2 linked regions of the Struthio camelus genome follow. The protein of the gene in region 1 interacts with the protein of each later gene in a pairwise test. Links are inferred from orthologs where the notes say so. Each region holds a gene or a part of one and is shown on either strand. Other genes may lie near its edges.

What was found.
Region 2: the proteins of TNPO2 (region 1) and APIP interact in binary tests that used the Homo sapiens proteins (3 or more experiments, as listed by UniProt). The two-hybrid records come from large-scale screens. The link is inferred for Struthio camelus from reciprocal best matches to the Homo sapiens genes TNPO2 and APIP.

Annotation. Positions count from the first base shown.
Region 1 is NC_090972.1:4,318,974-4,329,187, forward strand, and holds the start of TNPO2 (transportin-2), read left to right. Parts: upstream 1-5,783; 5' UTR 5,784-5,992; intron 5,993-6,701; exon of another isoform or gene 6,702-6,721; intron 6,722-6,862; exon of another isoform or gene 6,863-6,974; intron 6,975-7,372; exon of another isoform or gene 7,373-7,394; intron 7,395-7,526; 5' UTR 7,527-7,540; coding exon 7,541-7,639; intron 7,640-7,994; coding exon 7,995-8,070; intron 8,071-8,183; coding exon 8,184-8,333; intron 8,334-8,446; coding exon 8,447-8,553; intron 8,554-8,630; coding exon 8,631-8,764; intron 8,765-9,248; coding exon 9,249-9,330; intron 9,331-9,455; coding exon 9,456-9,578; intron 9,579-9,705; coding exon 9,706-9,824; intron 9,825-9,915; coding exon 9,916-9,976; intron 9,977-10,214. Other genes in the region: TRIR (telomerase RNA component interacting RNase), read left to right, coding at 594-671, 1,080-1,187; RING finger protein 11, read right to left, coding at 3,590-3,761, 4,024-4,193, 5,173-5,292. UniProt on the Homo sapiens protein: Probably functions in nuclear protein import as nuclear transport receptor. Serves as receptor for nuclear localization signals (NLS) in cargo substrates.
Region 2 is NC_090946.1:34,125,370-34,135,069, forward strand, and holds the start of APIP (methylthioribulose-1-phosphate dehydratase), read right to left. Parts: upstream 4,683-9,700; 5' UTR 4,364-4,682; coding exon 4,331-4,363; intron 3,825-4,330; exon of another isoform or gene 3,628-3,824; intron 1-3,627. Other genes in the region: PDHX (pyruvate dehydrogenase protein X component, mitochondrial), read left to right, coding at 4,840-4,981. UniProt on the Homo sapiens protein: Catalyzes the dehydration of methylthioribulose-1-phosphate (MTRu-1-P) into 2,3-diketo-5-methylthiopentyl-1-phosphate (DK-MTP-1-P).

The sequences.
Region 1 (10,214 bases):
GCTGCGCCGGGAAGGGGCGCGTCCCTATGGGCTGAATTTTAGGGTTTGGCTGCTTCAGGCTTTGACAAACGGTCCCCTCCCTCCCTGACCTGCTGCTTGGCGGCTTCCAATCCCCTGGGAGCAGCACCAGCGGAGGCCGAACAGAGGCGAGCCGCCGGCTGGCGTAGCCCTCCGCTGCCCGGGGCGCCTCGGCCGCGGTCACTCGCCGCAGCGCCTGCGTTCGCCTCCTTGTTAAACCGCGTCCAAAGCGCCTCGATGCCGTAGTAAAGTCCCCTGCTGTCGAGGAATCGCAGCAGCTCCGACGCGCTGATCCGCTCCCGCTCCTTCCCAGCGCTGTCGCGGCGTAGAAAGCCGGCCGCTACCCTCGGGGCGCCGGCCGTCGCGGCGAGCCAGGTCCGCCGCCGAAACCGCTAAACTGGCCGTTTAGCGACGAGCGGGTTCCCCGCGGGGGCCGCGGCGGGAGGAGCCGGCCCGCGGCGCTGCGACGGACCATCTAACGGAAGGCCTCCCTGTTCCGTTGTATAGTGGGCAGCGTTGTCCCCGCAGCGCCCGCGGCTCGGGTAACGGTTGCAGTCTTCTGTCCCTTCACCCAGGTGGGCAGGCGGAGAGGTGGGAACAAGCTAGCCCTGAAGACGGGAGTGGTAGCCAAGAAGCAAAAGACCGAAGAGGAGGTAGGTAGCCCTGGGACGGGACGGGGGGGGCATGGGGGCTCCCTGCCTCCTCCCTGGGGGCGGTTTTGGGTCCGCAGCTGCTTTTCTGCCCCCTCGCTCTTTCGGTGAGCGGCTAGGCCTAGCGGGAAAACGGGGGCGAGGGGCGCTGCCGGCCCCTCGCTGCCTCCTGCGGTGCTGCCCGTCGCTGTGGGCAGAGCCGGTTTGCAGCTTGCGGCCATCGCGAGCGCCCCGGGGGAGCCCGTTTGTCCGAATTTGGGGGTTTCCTTCACTGCCAGGATCCTGCAAGCACGAATCCCCTCGGGGGAGCGGGGCGTTGCCTGCCACAACCCCTCTTCCAGACTCGCCTCTTATCACCGGTGTTGTTTGTTCTTCCTTTGTTATTTTTTCCCTCCCCTCCCTCCTCTGCAGGTTTTGACAAGTAAAGGAGACGCCTGGGCCAAGTACATGGCAGAAGTGAAAAAATACAAAGCCCATCAGTGCAGCGACGACGACAAAACCAGGCCCCTGGTGAAATAGCCTCTCTCCCGGTGCCCGCACGGACTGTTTCCCTGTTGTACATACTTATTTAAACAGCGGAGGAGGCTAGCGGCTCGCACAGACATCCACCAAGTGCTCCCAGCGGCTTGTTCGAGGTGTTTTTATATGTAAAAAAAATATATATATATCTCTCTCTCTCTTTCTCTCTGTCACACGCGCACCTGGGCACGCGGGGACATCGCCAAGTCTCTTATTCACTGACTTAACCCTTCTTTCGTTCTGCTGGGAAATAAGGACTCTGGACTGGCCGTAGCTCTTTGTAGCGGGAACGCGCCTGTGGGGGCCGCGCGCCCGCCCGCCGGCCGGAGCCACCCCCGTCGCCCCGCTCGCTTCCGCGTCGGTAACTCCGAGATTCCCGTGGCTTTGCCTCGCCGCTTGTCTTCCCGCCGCGTGCCCAGATTTCCCGCCCGGTTTGGTCTCTTCCCGTTCCGCCTCCGTTTCCGCGAGTAGAAACCGTAGCTGGCGGGACAGAAACGCTCCCGCCTGGCTGTCGCGAAGGGTAAAAACTCGTCGGCGAGGGCGCCGCTGTTGCATTGAGTCATTAAAGACCTCGGATATTTCGAAGCCGCTAACCGCTTCCTGGGTGTTCTTGGCGCGGGGGCTGCGTCCCGGTGGAGCTTTTGCCCTCCCCGCTGCCTTTGTTGCCCGGCCTCACCGCTGTACTCCGAGGGATTTCTTTTTTCCCTCCCATGTAGGTTCCTCCGTGGGGTAACAGCGACATTACAGCGAGCTCCGGCTGTTTATTTTTTCCCCTTCCCCCAGGGGCTCAGGCTCTCCCGAAGTCACTCGGTGCTTTCGGATAACCGGAGGCTTCGGCAATATCCACTCGCGAAGGCGGCGGGGGGGGCTGCCCGCCCTCGGCATCGCTCACCGGGCAGGAGGGAACAAGAAGAGCTTTAAATCCGCCCTGTGCCGAGGTTTCTACCTCCGTCCGGGTGCCCTTGTCCTGTTTTTTTCTCCCCCAGGCGGCTCCGGGAGGGTGCGGATGAGAGCTGTTGCCGCTGCCTGCGCCTCCGCGTCCCTTCCGGTCGGCAGGGAGAGCTGCCGGAGGAGGTGGAACAGGTCGCCCGGAGCCCGGACTGACCCTGCTTCCCCGATCCTGCAGCCCCTTTTATTCTGAAAATCCTTCACAAATGTTTAAACGTTCTGGCTCTTTTCCTTTTTGAATAAAAATTCTCTTGCGAACAGAGGTGTCTTGCTGTGTCTGTTCACCCTCCCCAGCTGCTCTTGCACCTTCCTCCCGGGGAAGGATTTCACGCCAGGCCGCGGCTCTTCCTTTTGTTGTTGTTGTTTTTTTTTTTAATTTTCCTTTGGAGCCGCAGGGGGAGCAGGATGCGCTGTACCCCCCCCCCAGCCCTGCTTCCCCCCACCCTGCCGCACCCGGACACGCGGAGCTAGGCCATACGGTTTATTCGTTCCATCCAAACGGGCCGCGCGCCCCCCTCCCGCTGCCCGCCCAGCGCCGGGGCGGGACGGCATCGCGGCGGGCCGAGCACTTCCGCGCCTCGAAGCCGGCGAGGCGCCGGCGGCCCCCGCCCCGGGCCAGCGAGCCGGGCAGGAGGGAGAGACCCGAAACGGGGAGGGAGGGGGATGCGGAGGCGGTAGGAGCCCCCCTGGGCCGGCCACCAGCTCTCAGGAACGTCCTGGAGAGTCCGATGAGGCGCTCGGGGCCGGAAAATGGAGCCCGGTCCCGCTTCCGACCCTGTCGGTGGGTGTGTTGAAACCCGCCGCTGAACCGGGCTCGGCTCCGTTCCTATAAAACACCCGGGGAAGGGAATGTCTCGGGCGGGAACGTTAAAACGAAGCCGTAGCTGACGGAGGGGGAGAAGTGGGGCAGCGAGGGCCGCGCGGCCTCCTTTTCCCCAAGCCGAGAGGATCCGGCATCCCCAGGAGCCCGGATAAATCGTTCTCGGTGGGATTGCTCCGAATTACAGGGAATGCCGGGCTCCTCCGCTTTCAATCGCAGCTCTGGCATCAGGCACAGCGGCCACCAGCTCCAGGCACCCATCAAAGCAGCTGCTAAAGGACTATTTAAAGCAAAAAAAAAAAGAGGAGCAACAACTCCTTAAAAACAGGGCAGGGGCTTCTGCTCCTCTCCAAGAAACCAGCCCTCCGGGATCCGGCCTCTCTGCGGGCCGCCTCCGGCTCCGAGGGCTGCTCCGCTCCTCCGGCGGGAGCGAGGGCTGCTCCCAAAGGCCGAGACGGGGCCGGGTGACGCAGGGCATCTTCGGAGCCGCGCCGACTCTTCCCGAAAGGCCCGGAGGAGGCAGCCTTTCACCGGGAAACTCGGAGTCTTTGGTGCATCCTCTTAGCGTGCAAAAAAAGGGGGAGAACCGGAGCCCGAGGAGCCCCCTCCGCGGCCCCGGCCTCGCCGCGGCAGCTCAGTTAGTCTCGTAGGAGGAGAGCAGGGCGGCGTCGACGGGCTCCATGCAGGAGGGGCAGGTGAAGGAGCGCATGAGCCAGTCGTCGATGCAGGCCACGTGGTAGACGTGCAGGCAGGGCAGGAACCGCACCGGGTCTCCGTAGGTGAACTCCAGCATGCAGATCACGCACCTGCGGGGTGGCGGAAAAGGCAGGGAAGTGAAACCTGGCTTTTGGGCGCTGCCGGCAGCTCCCCGAGGCGGCGATCAAGCCTTTCGGGGGGCTGCAGGCTGAGAAATCGGCACTCCGCCGTCCCTCCTGCCCTTAAAATCCCCGGGGAAACGGAAACGGGGATGAGGTGGGCATGGCAAAGGCAGGAACAGCCTCCGGGAGGGGATGGGGGTTCCCCGAGCTCGAACCCCGCCGCCCCAGCCGGCGTTTTGGGGGGACTCACTCCTTCGTTTTCTTCTCGGAGGGCTCGGCGCCGGGGTCGAAGAGGCCGCGGGGCAGGTGCTGGATGAGGCCGATGCGCTGGGCGATGCGGACCTGCTCGTCCTCCGTGAGCTGGGTGGCCAAGCGGCGCTGGCTGGGCGTGGGGTGGTACACGGGCACCGGCTCGCGCTCCTGCGGGGCGACGGCAACCGCCGGCCTTGGGGAGCGCCGACGGACCCCCAAACCTGCCTCCCCCCTGCTCCTGGGGGGGGGGCTTGGGGGGACCCTCAACCCTCGGCAGGGCACCCAATTCCCTCCTACAGTGCCCGCTCCCAGTGCTCCCAGGGCGCCCTGAGCCCCCCAGTTCCCCCTCCCCGTGCTCCTAGTTCCTCCCTGCTCCTCCCTTTTCCCCCTCCAGTGCTCCCAGTCCCCCCCAGGGCACCCTGATCCCCCCAGTTCCTCCTTCCGGGGCTCCCAATTTCTCCCCATTCCCCCAGTTTCACCATCCCAGTGCTCCCAGTCACCCCCAGTGCACCCTGATTTCCCTCCCTAGTGCTCCCAGATCCTCGAGGCAACTCTGACGTCCCCCAGTTTCCCCTTCCCAGTGCTCCCAGTTACCCCCAGTGCTCCCTGATCCCCCAAGTTCCCCCTCCCAGTGCTCCCAGTTACCCCCAGTGCACCCTGATTTCCCTCCCTAGTGTTCCCAGATCCTCGAGGCAACTCCGACGTCCCCCAGTTTCCCCTTCCCAGTGCTCCCAGTTACCCCCAGTGCTCCCTGATCCCCCAAGTTCCCCCTCCCAGTGCTCCCAGTTACCCCCAGTGCACCCTGATTTCCCTCCCTAGTGCTCCCAGACCCCCGAGGCAACTCCGACGCCCCCCAGTTTCCCCTTCTCAGTGCTCCCAGTTACCCCCAGTTCACCCCGATCCCCCCTCAGTGCTCCAGGCCCCGCAGTGCGCCCCGCTCCCCTCCCCAGTTCCCTCTCCCAGTGCTCCCAGTTACCCCCAGTGCGCCCCTGCTCCCCCTTCCCAGTGCTGCCAGGCCCCCAGCGCACCCCCCACTCCCCCCCGCCCCCAGTTCCACCTCCCAGCGCTCCCAGTTCGTCCCGCTCCCCCCGTGTCCCCCTCCCAGTACTCCCAGTGCCCCCTCCCAGTGCTCCCAGTCCCTCCGGACCTGGTAGGGCGGCGGGGCCGGGGGAGGCGGCGGGTCCCCGGGCCCCAGGCTGGCTCCGTCCACGGAGTCGTTGAGCAGCGAGAGGTCGTCGGCCGCCTGCGAGGACAGGCAGTTCCCCATCCCCGGGACCGGGATCGGGACCGAGACCGGGGCCGGGCCGGGACCGGGCCGGGCCGGGCCGGGCTCTGCCACCCCCTCCCGGCGGTGGTACCGCCCGCAGCGCGAGGCACGCCGGGAAATGCAGTCCGGCGCGGAGGGACTCCGCGCATGCGCAGAGCTGCGTCGCTGCCATTATTCCCCCCCTTTCTCCCGGCGATGGTACCGCCCGCGCCGCGGGGCGCGTCGGGAAATGGAGTCCGGCGCGCAGGGACTCCGCGCATGCGCGGGGAGGGCGCGGGAACGGGCGGGGAGGCGGGAAGAGGCCTTGAGGCCGCGGGACGCCGGTTCCCGGAGCTCCACCCCCGCCCTCCCGCCGAGCGGGGAGGGGGCGTGGCCTCTCCTAACCCCGCCCAGTCACCACCGCGCGCGCCGCGCCCCCCCCCCCCCACTTACCCCGGCCCACGTGACGCGGCGCCGTCCTTTCCGCGCGCGCTCACGTGGTGCCCGCGGAGGGCGGCGGACGGTGGCCGGCGGGGGTCAGCGCCCGCGTGCCGCGCTCGCCTCCCTCCCTCCCTTTCCCCCCCCCCCCAACCTCTCCCCCGCGGGCAGCGCCCGGTGCCGCCGCGGGAGCGCGAGGCCGCCCCGAGCCCCCTCCCGCCTCCTCCTCCCCCCCTCCCCGGTCCGCCCCCCCCCCTCCTCCTCCTCCTCCTCCTTCAGGCAGGTACCGGCCCGGCGCGGCCCCGGGCAGCGTGGCGGGGCCTGGCGAGCGCGGGCGGCCCGGCGGGAGCGGAGCGGGGGGGGGATTGGGTGGATTTGGGGGGGGGGGGGACAAAGTGGGGGCCGGAGGGGTAAAGTGGTGTTAGAGAGGGCAAATTGGGGGCTGGGGGGGGAGGAATTGGGGGCTGAGGAGGCAAAATGGGGTCTGGATTGGGATAAAGTGGGGGCAGGAGGAGCGAATTGGGGTCTGGGGGGGCAAAATGGGGTCTGGGGGTGTGAACTGGGGTCTGGGGGGAGAATTGGGATCTGGGAGGGCAAAATGGGCTCTGGGAGGGAGAATTAGGGGTCTGGGGGAAGAATTGGGGCCTGGGAGGGCAAAATGGGGTCTGGATGGGGATAAAGTGGGGGGCAGGAGGAGCGAATTGGGGTCTGGGGGGAAATTGGGGTCTGGATGGAGATAAAGCGGGCAGGAGGAGTGAACTGGGGTCTGGGGGGAAAATTGGGATCTGGGAGGGCAAAATAGGGTCTGGGGGGGAGAATTAGGAGTCTGGGGGGGAGAATTGGGGTCTGGGGAGGGCAAAATGGGGTCTGGGAGGGGAGAATTGGGGTCTAGGGGGAAGAATTGGGGTTTGGGAGGGCAAAATGGGGTCTGGGGGGAGAATTGGAGTCTGAGGGGGAAATTGGGGTCTGGGGAGGAGAATTGGGATCTGGAGCAGCAAAATAGGAGCAGGAGGTACAAACTGGGGGTTGGGGGGTTGTGCCGGGGGGGTGGGTTGTGCAATAGGAGGGGCTGTAGTGGGGGTGGATTGAGGAGGAGGAGTGCTGCCGGTGGCAAATTTTGGGGGGGGGGGCTGCCGTTGGGTGAGGGGGTTGCAGTGGCGAGAGGGTTGAACGCGTGTGTGATGGGGGGGTTATGGCGGGGGGGGCAGTTTCCGGGTGAGGGAGCACCCGGAGATGCCGGGATGGCGGCGGGACGGGACACGCGGGTGAGCGAGGCGCCGCTGCCGGCGGCCGTGAGGGAATTACAGCCCCGGGGGGGGGGCAGTTACAGGGGGGGTGATCTGCCCCCCTCCCTGCCCGGTGCAGGCTGCAGCCGCCCCCACGTGTCCGTGCCCCCCCCCCCCCCCCGGCAGGGATTTCCTCTCCCCTCCGAGCCACCCCGCGGCCCCGCTCCATGTGCTGCAGCGTGGGGCCCCCTCCCGACCCCCCTTCCTGGGGGTCACGCTCGCAGCGGGGACGTCCCCTCCGGTCCCAGCCCCGCTGCTGCCACCCCCCCCCCCACCCCCAGGACGTGCTCCCGACTCCCTCGGGGTGGGTTTGGGGAGGGAGGTGTGCTTCGCCTCTCCGCTCCGGTTGACTGCTTCCCAGCCCCCCAAATTTGCAGCGATTCGGGACCCCGAAACAAGGTGGCAGCGGCCGGCGGGATCCGGCTGCGGCTTCGAGCCGCGCTCGGCTGCCCCGCGAGGGTTTTGTGCCGTTCGCGTCCCCCCGCCTGCAGCCCAGCGACGCTGATCTCTCCGTGTCCCCCCCCTTTCCAGGAAAGACCCCCACCATGGACTGGCAGCCGGACGAGCAGGGCCTCCAGCAGGTCCTGCAGCTGCTGAAGGACTCGCAGTCGCCCAACACGGCCACGCAGCGCATCGTGCAGGACGTATCCTTGCGGTGGGGGCGGCCGGGGCTCTCCCGCCTCCCCAGTCCCTGCCGGGGAGGGCCGGGGGCTCCGTCGCTCACCCATTGGGGCTGGCACGGGGGGAAACGCGAGCCGGGTCCGTCTCTAGAACCAGCTTGACGCGTTGGCTGGAGCTGGGTGAAGGGGAGGCTCCAGGGGGATTAAAAACCTTCTGAGCTCATGGGGTCGGCAGCTAGATGGAGGCAGGATCGGTCTGGAGGAGGTCGAGCTGGGAAACGGGGCTTTTTCGGCTCTTCAGCCAGGGCCGAGCCTGCGTTTGGCTGCTCCGGGACAGCATCCCCTTCCCAATCCCCTTCCTTAACAGCCCCGGGGGCAGAAACTGAAGCAACTGAACCAATTCCCCGACTTCAACAACTACCTGATCTTCGTGCTGACGCGGCTGAAGTCGGAAGGTGGGTCTGCGGCCGGGGTGGGGGGGTTTCCTGGCTGCCCCGAGGTGTTGGCCGGGAGCTGAGCCCGCGCGTGCCGGGACCGGCACCTCCCCGGGATAACGCGTGCCTCCTAGATGAGCCCACGCGGTCGCTGAGCGGCCTCATCCTGAAGAACAACGTCAAGGCGCACTACCAAAGCTTCCCCCAGCCCGTGGCCGAGTTCATCAAGCAGGAGTGTCTCAACAACATCGGCGACGCGTCCTCCCTCATCCGGGCCACCATCGGTGAGAGGGGGCAGGGGATGCCCTCGGGGCGGCTGCCGAGTGGGGAAACGGCTTGGGATGGAGCCCCCGCCCTTACCCCGGTCCCGGCTCACGCGGCCCCTCCGGCCCCGCAGGCATCCTCATCACCACCATCGCCTCCAAGGGGGAGCTGCAGATGTGGCCGGAGCTGCTGCCCCAGCTCTGCAACCTGCTCAACTCGGAGGATTACAACACGTGCGAGGTGAGCGGGGGGCCGCGGCGGCGCGGGGCGGGGTGGGGGGGCCCGCGACCCGCCGCTGACGCCCCTCTGGCGCGCAGGGGGCGTTCGGGGCCCTGCAGAAGATCTGCGAGGACTCGTCCGAGCTCCTGGACAGCGACGCGCTCAACCGGCCCCTCAACGTCATGATCCCCAAGTTCCTCCAGTTCTTCAAGCACTGCAGCCCCAAGATCAGGTGGGGAGGGGGCTGGGGGGGGCGTCGCGTGGCTCTTAACGAATTTGGGTGGGAAGGGAGCACCTCTGTGTCACGGTTTTTGTCCCCCCACTGGCATCCTAATGGCTCCTTGTTCTTGTCCTCAACCCCCCCAAGCGTGCTCCAGCTCCATCCGTGCCCCCGATAAGCAGTGGGACATGGCAATTTGAACCGCCACCAGGCTGGGCAGCTCCAGCTCAGCCTGTCCCTGTGTCCCCGGCCGTCCCGCTGGGACTCACTCATGTGTCCCCAGGTCTCCCGCAGTCCTTCCCGCTCCGTACCGGGGCTGGGGGTTATTCCAGCCCAGGCACAAATTTCTGTTTGCCTTTTGTGAGTTAATTCAGGGGCCGATGGGGTCCAAGAGGCGCAAACAGGCTGGGCTGCTCCCCTTTCTCGCCCGGCATCGTTAGCTAACGAGCCTGTCAGAGCCCCCCACAGTCTGTCTTCTCCCCGACCCGCGGCTCAGGTCCCACGCGATCGCCTGCGTCAACCAGTTCATCATGGACCGGGCTCAGGCGCTGATGGAGAACATCGACACCTTCATCGAGGTGAGCGGCCGGGGAGAAACGCTTCCCCGCCCCGGTTCAGGATGGTCCTGCTGGCCGAGCTGCCCGAGGGAGGACCGTGGGCCGCCCCGGGTGACTCGGGGCTCTCGGTGTCCCCCGCCTCGCAGCACCTCTTTGCGCTGGCGGTGGACGAGGACCCCGAGGTGCGGAAGAACGTGTGCCGAGCCCTGGTGATGCTGCTGGAGGTCCGCATCGACCGCCTCATCCCCCACATGCACAGCATCATCCAGGTAAGGGCCTGGCTCGTGCCCGCTCCGGCGGAGCCGCTTCCCGGTCGTTCCCCCCTCCCCTCGTTGCTGGGGGTCCGGTTTTGGAGGGGGAAGGGGCTGACGTCTCTCCCCGGCGCCCTCCCGGCAGTACATGCTGCAGCGGACGCAGGACAGCGACGAGAACGTGGCGCTGGAGGCCTGCGAGTTCTGGCTGACTCTGGCCGAGCAGCCCATCTGCAAGGAGGTGCTGACGTCCCACCTGATGCAGTGAGTACCCCCGGGCGGCCCCATCTTGTCCCCCCCCGGCCCTCGACACCCCCGGCCCGGTCCCTCAGCGTCCCCTTTTCCCCCCTCGCAGGCTCATCCCCATCCTGGTGAACGGCATGAAATACTCCGAGATCGACATCATCTTGCTCAAGGTACGAGGGCGCTGAGCTCTCCGCTCCCTGCTCCAGCCGGCTCCAGGACGGGGCTGATACTGGTTAAACTGGTGGAGGGACTGGGGCCACTGGGAGATGAAGGGCTGCAACGGAGCCGGGGAAGGGCAGGGGCCGCCCCACGACCTCCCGGAGGTGATGCAAAACCCCGAGCTGACGCCGGTGATGGCAGTTGTGTTCGTACTGTCTGATCCGCGGAGGCCGGGGGGCGGCCGGGGCC
Region 2 (9,700 bases), on another chromosome or scaffold:
TTGTTTATTTTATGTATATATACATACACATATAAATAGTGTGCGTTTGTATGTGTACTTTTTTATATCTAAAGGTATTTGTAGTGTCAGAGATTCATTCATGGTTGATCTAAGAGAGACAAATCAAACCAAAACTGTTTATTGGAAATCCTAAACACTGCTCTGCACTGAACATGTAAAAATAATAGTAGCATATATCAGCAGCTTTTGATAAGGTTTACACCGGAAAATCAAAAATTTTGAATGTTGGAACCACTTACATGAGACATATAACTGATATATACAGAGACAACTGCAAGATAATAGTTTAATTAATGTTGTATTCTCGAATTTACACGTTTGCATGTTGTTTTCAGTAATTCTTTTAGCTTACTTTAGACAATAAAAACCAAACCAAAGTCCCCACTGTTTACCAGTGTAAGAATAAAAATCAGATGTGTTTTCACAAAGACCCTGATACAACTGCATCCATCAAATAATGAATCAAACAGTAAAAAAACAGAACAGTATTTTTATTTATATAAATTTATTTGCCTGGCATGGGGAAATATTTCTACCTGTAATATCATGGTCATACAGTTGTTTTTATGTTTCATGCATGGGTATGTGACAGAAATCAGCAATTACGCAGAACATAGTACCCCTCTTATATTGCTTTCATGAAAAGTTGCTGAATTTCTGCTTAGAAAAGCTAGTTTGGAAAAAACTCTTATGACATCAAATACAGTCCCCTACTATTGCAGACAACTCTCAAATAATTCTTTGTATATATGTATCAAGCCTGATCAATACTCCCATCTTCAGCTTAGAGTGTAGTACCATATTCTTCGGTGACACTTGTTTCTGAAGCTACTATCTCTGAAGAACTGACGTTCACTGCAGATGTTATTTCTAACTATTCTGATTTTGTTTCTACTCTTTAGGGTCTCTTTTAATAATACGAAATAATCACCTGTTGATTCATTCCAAAAGTCAGAAACAAGACTCTAAGCAGCATTCCTAGAAATCTATGCAAGAAGCTAGATTTTTAAAGCACCATAAACCTGTACTAATTCACATTACTTAAAACAAATGAAATGCTACACACAATAGTACATGAAAAAGAAAAAATCCAAAACAAAAAACAGGTGAAATAAACAGATTTCTAAATTCAGAGTGAAAACATTCTGAGCCTCCTCCCCATTCACACAGCTGAAAATGAAACCACTCCTTTTCAGTTCTCCTTCACTGAAGGAGTAATATTCTGGCTAGCTAAATGTTCCTCAAATACTAATGCCTCTGAAATGTACTGTGATTCTGAGAATATTAGTGCATGTATCTTATGTTTACAAATATGAAAAAGTGCATAGTGTGTGTAAATTATAGGTCCCCACTTTGTGGTTCAAATTTATTTATACAGAATTATTATTTTATAAATTTGCCTGCTATAAAAATTATGAATCCCACAATATCTTGTTTTGTCTTTTATTTAAAATAACATCACTGTGTATTTCTAACTTATGTACTACACTGATACTTTTCATTTCAAAGAAAATTATCTCCCTTCTACTTTTGATGGAATAAACTCATGTTAAATAGTTTTACATGGCTATTGTTTATTGAATGTATATAGATATGAAAAAGCTATATTATGACATTCCTCCAGTTCTTTCATATTTTCCCTCACTGGTGATTCTGGACAATAATTAATGCGAGAAGATGATTGCTTTTAATCACTTTAAAATCATTACAAAGGTTTTTTTTTACAGTTCAAATTCAGAAGCTGCTTTCATCAAAAGCATACAAAACCCACATATTATTAAGGAGTTCCAACTATTTTTATGAAGAATCCCAGGATTATAAATCAACCCTCAGTATTTAACAGTACTCTTCCAGGATCAGCAGATACTACTCATAACCACAACCTATTTATTTAACATGTTTTAAAATAACTAAAGAGGCTATTTCCTGGAATAGGCTTAGGAGCGAATACATATAAAAGCAGCTGGCAAATCAACAGGATTATTCTTTGCCAAATCTCAATTAGAAAATCAATTAAAAAATGAGTGCAAGTTAAAATGCAGATGCCATTGGTTTTCTCTCTCTTTATACCTCTAACTCAGGATCTGGCCCACTAGTTCTCTGATACAGCCAATATGAACAATTTAGCTGGCTTTTACGATTTTCATCTAATTTTTCCACATTAGGTATTAAGGAAAACTTCACAAATTTCCATGAGCTTAAAAAAAAAAAAAAAAAGACTGCTTTTTCCAGCTATCAAATTATTCTTCTGAAAAACAAGTTTGCTGATAAATTTCAAAAGAGTAACTGACTGAAAGCATTCACTTAAAATTCATATTTTTGGTGTCAAAGTCAAATCTTTTGATAAAATTATTATTGCTTTTTTACAGAAAGACTGTCATTATTCAAAGAAAACTGTTTTTCCCCTTTTTTATTCAAGTGCATACACCTAATACTACAAAACCTAAAATAACAGTAACAATACAGTGTGAAACTGATGTAATGGAAATCAAGGTGGACCCAGGCTATTTGCAGAATGAGCCCATTTGCAAGACTTTTAGAGATAGTTTTCAACAAGATATGAAACTGAACTACAATATAGTTGTACTGTTTAAGATATTATGGTAAATAAACAGTGCCTTTAAATACGTACCTCCCCTTCACAAAGTGCTTAGAAATACATTTTCTGAGAAATAAGCATAGACTACATAGATGAAATCATACAGTTCTTATTTCACACTAACCTGTGAGGTTTCTTTTGAATAGCTACACACTGAAAAGTTTGATGTGGTAAAAATGAATGGTTCTGCACTATATATTTGAAGTGAGAAAGGTACCATTAATAAGCTGGTAGATTACTATTTAAAATCTGTACATGGCACAGAAAGGGATGAAGTAACAAAAGCAGTAAAAATAATGATCCTTTAAGAACGTCTGTTTTCTGCAATGCCTTCAACACCATATAAAGATTTTACAATTCAGAAAGGACTTTTAAAGGTAAGAAAAAAAGAAATAATTGTAAGGGAGGGACAGGAAAACAGTGTGGTCAGGATTCCTACACCATGTAAAAGCCTCAGACTATAAACTTTCACAGCAAGTATAGACCTCCAATTGAAAATTATCACTTGTTGTGTGCCTTTTTTCCTTTAAAGTTTTATTTGTTACAGCAATTAAAACCTTTAATACTTTTTAAATATAACAAGTGATTAGCAGCTGTGCTGCTCAGCTTAGTCATTTGTATCCACGAAACGGTATTTCCTAGAGAAATATGTTGAGCAGCAGGATCCCACGTTAAGGGGGCACTCACAGAGTATGAAAAACAAAAGCAACAAATAGCTAGCAAATAACAAAACTGGTAAGAAGGTTATTACTGACTATCGATAGTCTTTCTGAAACATAAAGGAAAAAAATGCTGTTGTCATTCTTCTCTACCTCCCCCTCCCCGGGAACTTCACTGACTCTAAAGCTGAAGATTACCGAGCAGTTCTCGAGCGTCTAAAGTAAGAGCTTAAGACTTTAAAGGGGCGCTGGGATTTTGTGGCCCCTGAAGGATCGTTCTTCCTGGTCTTTGGAAGCCCAGCAGAGAGAGGCGAGCATTTAGGCCAGCCTCCCTGAAGGGGCGGACAGCTCGCATCCTGCCGCACCTGCTACGGAGGGCTGCTGGCTGCGCAGAAACGCTTCCCGTCGGTGCCGGACTCGCACACCCCAAAGCGAGGAGGCTGCGCCGGCCGGCTGGGAGCAGCAGCCAAGGGTGCGAAACGGTGCGGCGGTGCTGAGGAAGGGGACAGGGAAGGTGGAGTCACAGAGAGAACAGTCTGGCGCAGGTCTGAGAAGGTTTGGAAACTCCCATTGTAGCCTATTCAAAATAGGACAACGTCACCGTGACAGGCAGTGACGAACTCCTCAGACAATCCGTCTCACTGTCCTAAATTAGAATATTTTCCTATTGCCTAACCTAAACCTTGCTTGCTGACACTTCAGCTCGTTATCTCTTCTCCAAATAACTATGGACATAAAGAAGAGCTTCTTCCCTTTCCTCTCTGTGACAGTATTTCACCTACTGGGAAAATAACTCCACTTACTCCTCAGTTTCTGTTTTCTTTTCCTGACTGAACCGATCCTTTCGCTCTTTCCTAGCAAGCCGTGCTTTGATAATTCTCATGGCTAACGGCAAAGGCTGCAAAAACACTCTCAGCCACGGCGACCACCAACCGCTGCTCTGGAGCGCCCGCTGACCCGAGGGGGATGCGGCGGCAGCACGGCTCGGCGCGGCGGGGCCGGCAGGGCACCCGCCCCCCCCCACCAACGGCCGCGCCCGCCCTCTCGTTACCTGCGCGCTGTCGCGGCCGTTGGCGGCGGCCATAGCGCCCGCCTGGGGTCCTCTCTCGGGGCTTGCGCTGCGGGGCCGGGAGGCCGCGCGGGCGCCTGCCGAGCGCGTCCCTGCCGCTGCCCCTGGCTGCGGGGCACCGGCCGGCGCAGGCCGTAACGCGCGGCGTTCAGCCCGGCGGGGCTGACCGGGACGGAGAGGGTCTCGGCGCCTCGCCTCCAGGCGGGCGGCGGGGGAGAGGCCTGCGGGGGGGCGGGCGGCTGCGCGCAGCTGGGGCGCTAAGAGCGGTCAGGAGCCAGGCGGCGGGTGGCGGAGCGCTCGCGGCCGGCGCTGGTGGGGGGCAGCCCGGCTCGCCGCTGTGCCGGCCGCCAGGCGGGCCGGAGCGGGGCGCGCTTGCGAGCGCGTCCGGCCGAGGCGGGCCCGACCGGCCGCGCTTTCCGCTCAGGCAGCGAGTGGGGCAGCCCCGGCGGCGCAGGGGGGCCGGGCCGGGCCGGGCCGCGAAGGGAAGCAAGATGGCGGCCTCCTTGTGGCTGGGCGGTGGGGGAAGGGGGGTGATGCGGCTGCTGCTGGGCAGGCGGCCGGCTCTGGGCGCTGGCGCCTCTCGCCCCGCTCGAGGAGGCTGGAGGTTCCTGCACGGGACCTACGAGCTGCGGGGTGAGTGTCTGGGCTGGGCCCTGCGCCGTTGGCCTGCTGCAGGCCTGAGGGGGGAGGGTCGGTGGTGCTGGGGGGCCGGGGCTGCTGGAGGAGAGGGCCGCCTTCGGCAAAGAGGTGTAGGGCGGCAGGGCCGAGTGGGCCTGGTGGTGTAGTGAGCAGAGAAAACTAGCAGCGAAGTCCTGTTGGAAAAGAGGGAAGAGGCTGTGGAAATGGGATAGCTTGGCAGGGTGCTGCTTGGCCTAGCCTCTGGAGGTACAAGCACAAGGGCGTTTTGCTGATTATCTGGTAAGCGTTGCTCTGGTTTTTGATGAAAAAAATTGCTAGTTTTTCAACTATTACGGTTTTTTCCTGCTGTATAGCTCCCAAATTCTGTTTTTAGTGTTTTGCTCTCTGTCCCCAGCTTCATACTCTTCCTTCTTTGTCCTTCCTCTCCCAGAGGGTGAAGTTGAGTATAGAAGTCCCCCAAAAACATACCGTGCATGTTAAGGGGTCAAATTAGCATTTAACACTGAAATGCTATTTTGCTTCATTGTCAAAGCAGGCTTCTTGACACTAAGACCAGGTGAAGGCTGCCACACTCAGGTTCTCTGTTAGTTTGGTGGCCCAATCTAAAGGGTACCACCTTTGTAATCTGCTGGGAATAATTCCCTTCTTATTGGCAAAGTTAGGTTTATTGTCTGTTTCTACAGAATGCAAGCTTAGGTATTATTTTAAATAATTTATTTTCCAATTATCTTAGGAGCCCGGACAAATATTTCCATATGACATCTAGGACAACAGGATTAAAGACTATAGCATCTAGGCTTTAAAAAAAATTGAGTAATTTTTAGAAAAAGATACTACTTTTTTTACTCTAACTGATGTGAAAAATCATGTGGAAAAGGAGGACTTCATGTAATAGAAGAAGAAAAGAAAACATAAGAAATGGTCAATTTGGAAGAAGTTATAACTCATCAGTAATTTTGAAAGGAAGCAAGCAAGCAAACAAAAAGCAGAAACCCTGGTCAAATTACTAGGAGGAATAAAATCGAAAAGGTGACAGCACAGAATGATGTAATTCTTGTCTGGTAGATGCAGTAAAGAAATATTTTATAAATAAATTAGTACAAGAGAGAAGAGTTAGTTTGTTATACAAGGAAACGTACACAAGATCAAAGTCTTTCCTTTTTCAATTAAACCGTTACAAAAAGGTTACACCAATGCCCAAAACTATTGGTCGGTGCTAGACTAGGTGAAGGGAGAAGGTTATTCGGTTAAGTCAGATGTCATTTAGGCAGGTGAGTATTGTGTCAGATGGTAGTTGAGCAATTTTGAACGACAAAGCTGAAGCTGCTCTGTTCTTTTCCACTATCTTATAATAAAAGAAAGAAGGAATTATATGCAAGTCTTCTCCAGTGAAGAGAAGAATCTTTTCAGAGATTGCAGTTAACCAACGAACCAGACTTGTAAGCACTGAGAAGGCCTATCAAAACCTTTTTTTATCAGACCAGTCTGACAGCCTTTTGTACTGGGGCACCGCGTTGTCTGTTTGGGAAAGATTGATTTTTCATAGGGCTTTGGCATTGTCTCCTACATACTTCTCATAAACAGGCTATAGAAACATGGCCTCAAGGAGTCTCTGTAGGGTTGCTCAAAGTGGTTGGGAAGGCAAGGAATAATTATAGTTCACTGTAAAACTGGAAAGATGTATTGCATGAGGTCCATCAGGGACCTCATGTCTGGAATTGGGTTTTAATTGCCATTTTTGTTAGAAGCCTAAATAATGGAATGAATACTTCCCTTCCATTTGAGATGCATCTGAGATGGGAGAGATTGCAAATGTATTTTGAGGACAGGATTAGACTTTAAATTGATCATAGCAAATTAGGTAGAACAGCCTGAGAAAAGTAGTGTGCAAAGCATAGAAAGAAATGCCTGTTACAGGATAGGACATGACAGTCATAATGTTGCAAGGGAGATCTGGGTTTTACAGTAGATTGTAAATTAAGCACAAGCCTGTATCATCATCATGCTGCAAAAATTATATTGGGTTGGAAAAGCTAGGAGTGTCATGTAGGGGACATGTGGTAGTCTTCTTTCCACTCTACTTTGTACTCGGAATGCCTCAAACAAAATTTTTCCTCAGCTGCCTGTTTGGGAAGTATCCAAGAAAGATATGGGCTGCTTGGACAGAATTCAGACAGAGGAGCGAGAATTATGAGGGGTCAAGAAAATGTCATCAGTGAGGAAAAACTGAAGTAGTTGGAGTCCAGAGGGTAAAAAAGATTGATGGGAGAATAAATCTTCAAATGTAAAAAATATTCTGTTGAGGATAAGGCCAAGAAAAAAAAAAAGGATGTTTATGACTGAGAACAGTTGATTACTTTCTTAATTGTAAGTATAGTTAAGCACGTAAGTAGAAGGAGGCAGCCTAAATTAAGGGTTTTTTTTTTTTTTCCAGTGCTTGGAGATTCTCCATCATCTTTTTCTTCTACCAGTGATGCTTCAAGTAGTTGGAGAAGGATTCAGAGGCTTTATTTCATGTATTTTTTGCCTGTTTGTTTTAAATGGAGAAAAGGAATTTAAATTTATTCATTGCATGCTTAGAAAACTACATAGAAGTCAACCTATGGGGTCAGGGCAACATCCTTTCAAGGTACCATTTTTTATTCCCAGGAGTTTGTTTTTAGAAAATTGCTAGGCAGATCATCTCCTTGCATATTTTCCTCTCTCTCAAAGAGTTATGGGAAGAATTTTGGATGCCAGGTGAGATTTGAGCCTTTCTTCCCCAACTCCATTTGCTGTTACAACTTGTAAAACATTAAACAACATTCTGGTGCATTTCTTGAGGTACTGGTGTTACAGTGAGCATAAAATACTTGAACTCTTTCTTTTTTTTTTTTTAAATGCACTTATAAAGAAGTGAGTTCTTGTTAACCGTATGTAATAAAACTCCAGGCATCTTATGATAAAATTGAAAAGTAGTTTAGAGACTTGTTAATCATTGTCTTTTTGATCTCAGTATACCCTTCTTTTCAGCACTAGCTTTAGCTTGTTCAGTCTTTCCTCATGGATGAGTTTCTTTGAACTTCTTAATATCCTCACTGCTTTTCAAGGTGGAATACATTTGAATGACGTCATGTTTCTTAAATGTGTATTGTAGCTTCTAAAATGCGGGACTGAAGTAGAAAACTCCTAACTTCTCTGGTAAAATACTGCTCTTTAGGACACTGCTCACTCTTGGTTTCTTGTTTGAGAATTAAAACTTTATCCTGGTTCTGCTTTAGCATTGATTTTATTTCTTCTTTTTTTTGGTTTTGTTTTGTTTCTGAAAATGCCACCATTTACATTTTTGGTTCATACAGAGCTGGTTTTGCTGTGCTACTTTTTTCTGTGTTTTTTTTTTTTTTTTTGCTTCTCTTTCTGCTCCCCTCTTTGGGAGGGGTGGGAGGAGAAGGTTGTTTTGTGTAATCAGAACACTTCTTGACTTCAGTTATCTGTTTTGAGTATATCCTAACTGAACTCTTACTTTGCCAGTTAGTTATGTGACAGAGGGAATAATTGGAAGGAAGGTAACTGTATGAGATAAGAACTGAAGTACAGACAGATACGCTACAGGAACAGGGCAGGAAAGGTGAAAAAATTTCTAAATGAAATGCTATTAACAGCATAACCTGTGGTTAACTTCAATTTTGACCTACCTGATGTTTTTCAGATCCTTGCCTTTTAGCTGGTGTGCCTAGATGGCCAATGTTGTGTTAGAGGAAGGGAAATTTTATTCCAGCTCTACCACTTGAGAGGTTGCTTGCTTTGCTGACTGATGATGTTCTTAGTAAACAATTAGTGAATCAAAGGCATAAAGCATATAGGTGCCCAATGTCTTTTGAAAATTTGAATCCATTAACAAATAAAAACTGCAAATAAAAAGTCTTTGTGGATTAGGTCATGAAGGTTTTGTTCATTTATAAATGGATTAAAAGAGACACACTCATGTGGAACCAAAGGATGTGATTTTTCTTCTAGCACAGCCACTACTTACAAAAAAGTTTTGTTGGGAATGTGATTTGGCCCAGAGCCTCTGCTGAAAATGGAGGATTAGCAAATCAGCTTAGTTTCATTATTTATTTTTGAATGCTTCTTTATTTATCTGAGATACAGTAGGCTATCAGCAATTGGTGACCAGATAGCTTTTGTTCAGGGCTAGCCTGCAGATTGGATCTGGCCCATAAAAATAAATAGTCTACTTCTTGCTGCCCTCTTCCTTGGGGATTTTCTGATGCTGTCCTGTTATGTGACTAAGGCTTTTGACCTCATCATTTGATGGAGAATGCCAATGTTTTCTTATGGTGAATGCACTTTCAGTTATATGAAAGGAGGGTGGCGATACTGTGACATCTGATACCTCAGTGTCTCACTAGAAGACTTTCTTGCTGCAGTTCAGCTTGGGCATCACAGGTGTGCGGGCCCTTTCAGGAAGACAAAGGAGGAATACTGAGTAAAACAGCTTCTCTTTAGTTGTGTTCTGATGCTTAATTATTGTTCTTCCTGCACCTTTTGCCTAAATACATGCCTACAGACCAGCCAGAGGTGTGGATTTGCCTATAAACAGTATCTTCAGCATATAAAATCAGTCTAGGGTTTTGATATTACATTGTTTGACTATGTTTTTTTCATTTAAAGGATTTTCCTTTTATAATATGGCATTTGAAGATTTCTTAAGCTGGATCCTAAAGCAAAAGC